Macaca mulatta: one gene and its partner. The protein of the gene in region 2 purifies or fractionates together with the protein of the main gene of each other region. This does not show direct contact. Links are inferred from orthologs where the notes say so. Each region holds a gene or a part of one and is shown on either strand. Other genes may lie near its edges. The genes, in order: GLG1 and OSBPL8.

The links.
Region 1: the proteins of OSBPL8 (region 2) and GLG1 purify together in Homo sapiens (co-immunoprecipitation; 3 studies listed by BioGRID and IntAct, with this or other methods). This does not show direct contact. The link is inferred for Macaca mulatta from reciprocal best matches to the Homo sapiens genes OSBPL8 and GLG1.

The regions. Positions count from the first base shown.
Region 1 is NC_133425.1:69,910,535-69,914,845, forward strand, and holds the start of GLG1 (Golgi apparatus protein 1), read right to left. Parts: upstream 2,993-4,311; 5' UTR 2,973-2,992; coding exon 2,502-2,972; intron 1-2,501. UniProt on the Homo sapiens protein: Binds fibroblast growth factor and E-selectin (cell-adhesion lectin on endothelial cells mediating the binding of neutrophils).
Region 2 is NC_133416.1:83,542,519-83,546,336, forward strand, and holds part of OSBPL8 (oxysterol-binding protein-related protein 8), read right to left. Parts: intron 2,034-3,818; coding exon 1,949-2,033; intron 349-1,948; coding exon 177-348; intron 1-176. UniProt on the Homo sapiens protein: Lipid transporter involved in lipid countertransport between the endoplasmic reticulum and the plasma membrane: specifically exchanges phosphatidylserine with phosphatidylinositol 4-phosphate (PI4P), delivering phosphatidylserine to the plasma membrane in exchange for PI4P, which is degraded by the SAC1/SACM1L phosphatase in the endoplasmic reticulum.

The DNA of each region.
Region 1 (4,311 bases), on a different chromosome or scaffold from region 2:
GAGGCCGAGGAGGGCGGATCACGAGGTCAGGAGATCGAGACCATCCTGGCTAACACGGTGAAACCCCGTCTCTACTAAAAATACAAAAAATTAGCCAGGCGTGGTGGTGGGTGCCTGTAGTCCCAGCTACACGGGAGGCTGAGGCAGGAGAATGGCATGAACCCGGGAAGTGGACCTTGCAGTGAGCCGAGATCGTGCCACTGCACTCCAGCCCGGGCGTCTCAAAAAAAAAGAAAAAAAAAAAAAGAAAAGAAAATAAGGTGGGCACAGCGGCTCAAACCTGTAATCTCAGCACTTTGGGAGGCCGAGATGGGCAGATAACAAGGTCACGAGATCAAGACCATCCTGGCCAAAATGGTGAAACCCTGTCTCTACTAAAAATACAAAAATTAGTTGGGCGTGGTGGCACGCAACTGTAGTCCCAGGTACTCAGGAGGCTGAGGCAGGACAACTGCTTAAAGCCGGGAGGTGAAGGTGGCAGTGAGCCGAGATCACGCCACTGCACTCCAGCCTGGCAACAGAGTGAGACTCCGTATCAAAAAAAAAAAGAAAAGGAAAAAGAAAAGAAGTTTAAAAATAACTCCACCTCCTGAAGAATATACACAGGTGTTCACAGTACTCTTCTTTCAGTATTTCTGTATGTAAAAACTGGAGGAAAAAACATTAAATTGGGAATTTGGCTCCTCCCCCTCCCCCTAAACCCCCAAAACTCCCATTTCCAATTTACATGACACCTTTCCTCCTCTGGAGCATAAAAGTGCCTCCTTTAAGTGGAGGTTTCCAAATGTCCGGAATACACATGAATAAGGATATATACACTCCTTGCGTAGGCACTTTTTGCCACTTTCCCTAATAATGTGCTGTTTCTGGCCGGGCACAGTGGCTCACGCCTGTAATCCCAGCACTTTGGGAGGCCAAGGCAGGCGGATCACAAGGTCAGGAGATCAAGACCATCCTGGCTAACTCGGTGAAACCCCGTCTCTACTAAAAATACAAAAAATTAGCTGGGCGTGGTGGCGGGCACCTGTAGTCCCAGCTACTCGGGAGGCTGAGGCAGGAGAACGGCGTGAACCCGGGAGGCGAAGCTTGCAGTGAGCCGAGAACGCTCCACTGCACTCCAGCCCGGGCGACAAAGCCAGACTCCGTCTCAAAATAAATAAATAAATAAATAAATAAAGTGCTGTTTCTACCACAAACCACTAATAATGTGTTTGGTCACCAGTATTAGGATCGTAGTTTGATGAAACGACATCTATTATGTGTCCTCAAAGAGCAAAAAGAAAATTCCAAAAAGTTTGACACCCCGACTTAGGAATCTTAGCTGTATCTATCAGAGGACTATCCTTCTAGCCTTCAAGCTGAAGATGAGAAGTCAGGTAAGGCCTCGCATTTCCAGTGGTTCTGGAAACTTCCTTTCTTTCTGTCTCCTGCTTATGTATGTCTTTTCCTCTATCTGAATTGCTTTTGTATAGAATACTAGAGCATGAGATGAACCAAGAGTAGCAAATTTCTACAAGTCAGTGGTCTTCCTATAACTTGAACGCCGTAAACAAATCTGATACTACAATTTAAAAAAAAAAAAAAACAGCTAAAAACAGTATCAAGTAGCAGCTTTATTCTATGTGTCAACCTTTAGGGCTAATTCTAATACTTACACCTCTGGAAAAAGTTTCTACTGTCAGATTTGCTCCCAAACTTTGAGAATTGTCAAATATGCACTTACAGTCTGCAGCATTAAACCTAGATTATAAATTATCAATGTCACTTAACTGAATCACACCAAGCAATGGCAAATCTAGATTTCATTAACAGATACTGTTAAAATCACATTGAGACCTCAGAAAAGCAAGACCCCATAACCCAGCCACAAACACAGCTTCAAATGCTTCCCCAACTTTTCAAGCTTTGGGTCGCCAAGTCACTCGGAGTTAACAGCCTAAACATGGGGTTCAATACAAACTGACCAAAGGAAGTGAAGAAAACAAAGCATACATTATTTCAGCAAGAAGATGGATTTGCGAATTACATCTACTGTAATAAACAGCAGATCAAACCCCTACTGCTAATAAACAGATCGTTCTTTACAGCCTAAGTACGCCAGGCATTTTTTTATGTTTAAATGGCTTGCCACAAATTGTCCTAGTCAAAACTGATCGCAAAATCCTAAACTGGTGTTCGGCGAGGAGACACTCGGTATAGAGGATCACACAAAAGACAGGAGCGAACAGACACGCTCTGGGCCTCCGCGGATTGCGGCCAGGAGTCCAGGTCTTCGTCCCAGACCCCGGCAACAGGGAGGGAAATAAGGGCGAGGGAATAGAAGTGGGGGTGGGATCCTTTTCCCTGAATGCGCCTGGGAATGAGGAGCAAAGAGGGAAGGAGCGAGTGCAGCACAGAGGAAGCGAGAAAAGCAGCCGACCGGCGTCAGCGTCTTCCAAGGCTGGCAACACCCTCGGGCCCGCACCAGGCCTGGCCCTCCCGGCTTCGTCCCACCTCCTCACCTCCCTCACATCCTGCAGGCACTCGAGCACCGCCAGGTTGTTGCTCCAGGTGTGCTTGGGGCACACGCGGGTCACGTCCTCCCTGCAGGACTCTTCCTCCGCCAGCTTCCAGCCCCCACCAGCCCCCGCTCCTCCTCGCCGAGCCGGAGGCCCACCCGCCGGGAAAGGCAACTGTGGCGGCTGAGGCTGCTGTTGCTGTTGCTGTTGCTGCTGCTGTTGCTGCTGCTGCTGCTGCTGCTGCTGCTGCTGCTGCTGGAGCTGCGATGACTGAGGCAGCTGGGGCAGCTGCTGACCTGCCGGGCCGCCGCCTCCGGCCTGCCCTACGAAGGACACAAAGTTGGCGCCGGGGCCCTGGCCCTGGCTATGGACGCCCTGGCCGGGGAGTTTCTCGGCCCCGGCCGCGGCTAGCAGCAGCAGCTGCAGCGCCGCCGACAAGCGGAACATCCTCCGTACACGTCCACACGCCGCCATCTTGGGTCCGCGGCGAGCTCGACGCACTCGCCGGCGCCGCGTATTTAAATAAGGGGGCGGAGACGCCGGGCGTGGCAGCGTGGCCCTGCCGAGGCCCGCCCCTGCCGGCGCCGACCCGCAAGTCCAGAGTGGGGCGAAGGAAGAGGCTACACTGAAAACCGTACACGCCCTGGACCCGCGGCTGGGAGAGCGGCGCTTCTTACCTGGGTGGTTGGTGGGGTTTCTTAAAAAGCCCGGGCAAGGCGGCCTAGTCTAATTCCCTTTCTTGTCACAGAAAAAAAATCAAGGGAATTGGGGTTGCCACAACCAAAATGGCCGGTAGAATATGTCGCCGGTTCAATGACTTGGAAAACAAAAACTTTATATGTAGAGGTGAACTTTGCACAACCAGGTGTGTTACGGAATCGGAAAGCTTCTCCTTGCATCGCTCCCTCCTTCCTTCCACCTGCCTCAGAAGTCTTTCCTAGCCAAAGAGAGAGACAGCATTGAATAGGGTTAAGAGCATAGGTCTTGGGGTAAGAAAAAAATTAAGGTTATAATCCTTGCTCTGATAGAGTGGGCAAGAGCTCAAATGTAAAGTACCATTGACAAGATTCAAAATAATAATAAGGGAAGTGCCTGGCCCACAACATGGAACTCCAAAAGTCATAGCCAGTATTGTTAAACTGTGAAGCCCTTTGTGCGTAAATCCTGATTTTAAGCCAACATTTAGATTCATGTTTAAAGGATGAACAAATAATAATAAAACACACTTTGAGGACTCGGGTTAAGTCTGTGTCGGTAACTGTTCTCATTGACCTGCATGCAATATCGCAGGCACCCCACGCTAGCATCCCCTCCCTGTCCTTAGGAGAAAGGATATGTTCCCAAAGCCTCTTCACATCCGCTGTGTAATCTGAGCCATGCATCAGGCCTGCGTTAGGTTCTCATTTAGCTGAAGAATGGCATAGAGATGTTAACAGTTCTGTGCGGAGGGATTAAATGAGCGGCCCAAGAAGAACTCTGCCATCCTGTAGACAGCCAGGCTAGCCACCAGAATCCCTGGGGCTTCCCACCACCCTGGTGCACTTTTATCCCACTTTGTCCATACACATGTTGGGGAATCAGGGCAGTTTGGGATGTGTAATCTTCCCTGGTCATTGTGTCCAAAAATGCAGCTTCTGCTGTCCTGACCCACAAATGATCAGTCAAGACCAGATTAGACATAACTAGAACCTGAGAAGTCAGGAGCTCAGGGAACCTAAAAGGAGCCCCTGAGACTGAAGATATTCTGTGAGTACAAATTACCCACTGTGGCTGACCCCAGGCCTCTATCATGGGGAATGAGAGCTTGTTGGCA
Region 2 (3,818 bases):
ATTTCTACACCTGATTACAGCAGCTAAACAAATTTTAAGCCAGTCTTAGGCCATATAACAGGAAGATATGCAAATTTCAGTCCTAGATACACTACTAAAATTCTAGGCCTGCCAACTAATTTTGTGAACAGCACAGTCTCTGAAACATTACCAAATCAGTGGCAATATCTACTTACTGGAAGTTGTCACCACTGTGGAGATTGTTAGCACGTAGTAAGCCATAGAAAGTTACATGTGTGCTATCTGATGAAACGCTTAGGTCATGTTCCTTTCCTTCTCTGATCATTGTACGTTTAAGAAGACTAGAACATTTCAAAGCCAGCTCCAAAGCGTCCATCCAGCACCTTCCTAAATGAACACAGATTCATAAGCAGTATAATTTTTAAAACTATGAAACTAGCATGCATCTTAACTTACCCTGTTACCACTATTTCTTTGAGAAACATGCACTAGAAAAGTTAATCTGAACATAACATCTGCTAGAACTTTTTAATGTAATCTTTCAGTTTTCCAAATGCTTTTCACATACTAAGCAGGTACAAACCACTGATAAATGAATAGTATACAGCATGCATTAGAAAGTATACCCAATCTAAAATAAACATACTTTATTTTTCAAATCTTAGGACATTAACAAGCAGTATAATTTGAAGGTATCAAGCAAGGTACATAAAATATACTGGAGGATTTATGGTTCTACTATAAACAAACTATCTGAAGTAACTGTTTTTGATAATAGAAGGTCTATCCTTAAGATTAACATCCATTCTACCTGTATGTATGAAACTTTTTAAGTCAGGAAAATGCCTATATAATGCTACTATTAACTGCCATATTAGTTAAGAGAAACATTAATAGTTTTATTTTTTAAATAAAAATTTAAAAGTGAATTAGCAGAAAACTTTTCACTTATATTTGGGGCTCTTAATTTTCATATATATCACTTCAAGATTTGCTGGGAGTATCAGTCAAGTAAAGCATTTTCATATTGAAAGCTCATACCTATATTTTAATTAAAAAAAAATCATCTGAGGCCAGGTGTGGTGGCTCACGCCTGTAATCCCAGCACTTTGGGAGGCCAAGGCAAGCGGATCATGAGGTCGAGTGTGGGACCATCCTGACCAACATGGTGAAACCCTGCCTCTACTAAAAATACAAAAATTAGCTGGGCATGGTGGCGTGTGCCTGTAGTCCCAGCTACTCAGGAGGCTGAGAGAGGAGAATGGCTTGTACCAGGGAGTCGGAGGTTGCAGTGAGCTGAGATCGTGCCACTGCACTCCAGCCTGGCAACAGAGCGAGACTCCATCTCAAACACAAAAACAAACAAACAAACAAAAAAACATCAGATAAAAGTAAACTTTGGAAGGTTACAAGATTCCCTACACCAACCTTGTCTAAACTACGAAACATGAAAGCATGAAAGTGAGGACAAAATCTGTTATTAAGATTTGAAAGCTACCTTGATATCACTTAAGTTTTTCTCTCCCCATATTTGCTTCATGAATTAAGTATTAAAGGAGGAATAAAAAAGGTTGTACTCGAATGTCTTATGTAAAAAAAACAAAACAAAACAAAACAGTATATGTCTCATAAATGGTAACATTTAGTAGTAAAATATAAAAAGTATTAAATGTATCTTTAAAATAAAACATGAGTTACCATAAAGATCACTAACAAGTTAAAAGGTGTTAATATGTCCATGGAGGATGAAGAAGAAAACTCTGAACTGCTAACTCATTGATAAATCACACAATGCTTCCTTTCTATCAGATTTCCCTATTTGTCTATTAAGTTACTCATATATTTAGCATTCAAAGCAATTTACGATTACCATGCTTCTGCTGCAAATGCCATACTAAAAATATATTTCCCCAGAATAATACAAAGCGGCATAAAAAAACTCTTAAAAATGAAGACCAAAATCCAATCCATCAAAAACTATATTTACCATCTGACTCTGAAGTAGCTCGGATGATCAAATAACTGCTAGGTAAGGGCTGAGTAATGGATCCAACCGCTTCACCTTTTGGACCCTTAATAACAAAATAAACAAAATAAATGGTAGAGAGTAAGTATTATGAGATCTCAACTTTATACTATCCAATATTATCTGTAATAATCTAAATCAGGTATGGATTATAATCTAAAAGCAAATAAGCTTTAATTTCATCATTCTTGATAATGCAAATGTTAAGTATTAAGAAAAATTTTCTAACAAATATATCTCCTTAGCAGAAAACTGAACAAATTAATTATCACTTAAATATTACCTCTATATATTGCTTACATACTAAAAAGAACCTGCAATTTACCATATTAAACCAAATTTTAACTTAACAATGTCCATCCCATGGATACAACTAATGAGATAAGAAATACTAAATTTCTAGAAGGCTAAAGAAAGCATCTGGAAATAGAATTATAATTCAAAAGAAAAAGAGAAATGAATTTTAACTGGGTCTAAGGAAAAATAAATCTCTACTTTAAAACCAATGACATATACCTGTTTTTAAACACCAACTATATACGCTGATTTTATTTTTCCAGAAACATGAAAGAAAAAGACATTCTGTTGTTGTTGTTGGCTAGGGTTGTTTTATAAGTATACAATACCAACACTAATTAATATCACCAATGCTAAACTTAGGTAGACACAATAGAAAGGAAACTAAGTATTGAATTTAAAATATAATTTTGATACAAAAGCTTAATTTTTAAGTTGTTTTCAAAGGGTTCTTTAAAGTTATCAGGTCAAAAAACAAAACAGATTTCCAAAACGCATAAAATGTCAGAAAGTAAAGATGTAGATTCAAAATGAAAACAGAAAAAAAATTAATATGGCTTTAACAAATACCGTAATATTCTGCATTTTCAAATAGCTTTACAATTTATGGGCCAGTTCCTAAAACCAGTATACAGTGGGACATGTAATCAGACCGCCTGGGTTTCAATCATGGCTCCATGCTAGAAAAACAGAGTTCAATCTCTTTATGTGTATAATGGGAAGAAACTGTATCTTCCTTATAGGTATGAGAATTAAATAAATGATTTCATGTAAAATACTAAAGTACCTGACATGAACTCATAGCTGTTACTATTTCCTAATCATAAACACTGGCTTCCAAAATATTTAAACAATATCCTAAGTAGGTTTTGCTTGTGGGAAGTATTTATATAATTATACAGATTTCTCTCTTCTTCCAATAGTAAGAATTAAATATTATAAATTTGACATTAAAATCATTAATGGCTTAAAATTTATTTTAATGCTTGCAATTCCTAAGAGTAGTAGAATACTATATTTATATACATACACACATATGTGTGTATATATAGTATTTTTGTATATGTGTATATGTATACATATATTTTGTTGTTGTTGTTTAAAAAGGTTTTGAAAGTCATTTTCTCCACTTGAGAATCGCTTAATATATAAATGTCAGAGGTTCGGGGGTTTAAATTCTTTCCCCTGAGGGAAGCACCTAACCTCAGAATGGAACTAACTCGGTAATCCCAAATTTATTCTTGCTGTGACTCCAGGCTACTGAAATAAAGATTAAAAAGTACAAGTTTTTTCCTAGGTGTATGTATATTGCATTATTAAGCAATACCCTCCCCGCCCCACAAAAAGGATTAAGCTACTTTTTGTTAACCGTAATCTCGATGAGGTGGTTTTCCCTAAAGGAGAAATTCTAACTTCTTTATTCTACAATAACTGGCCTTCTCAGAAACTAAAGCAATGATCATTTTGTAAAAACTTAAACTAGGCTAGGCATGGTGGCTCACATCTGTAATCCCAGCACTTTGGGAGGCTGAGG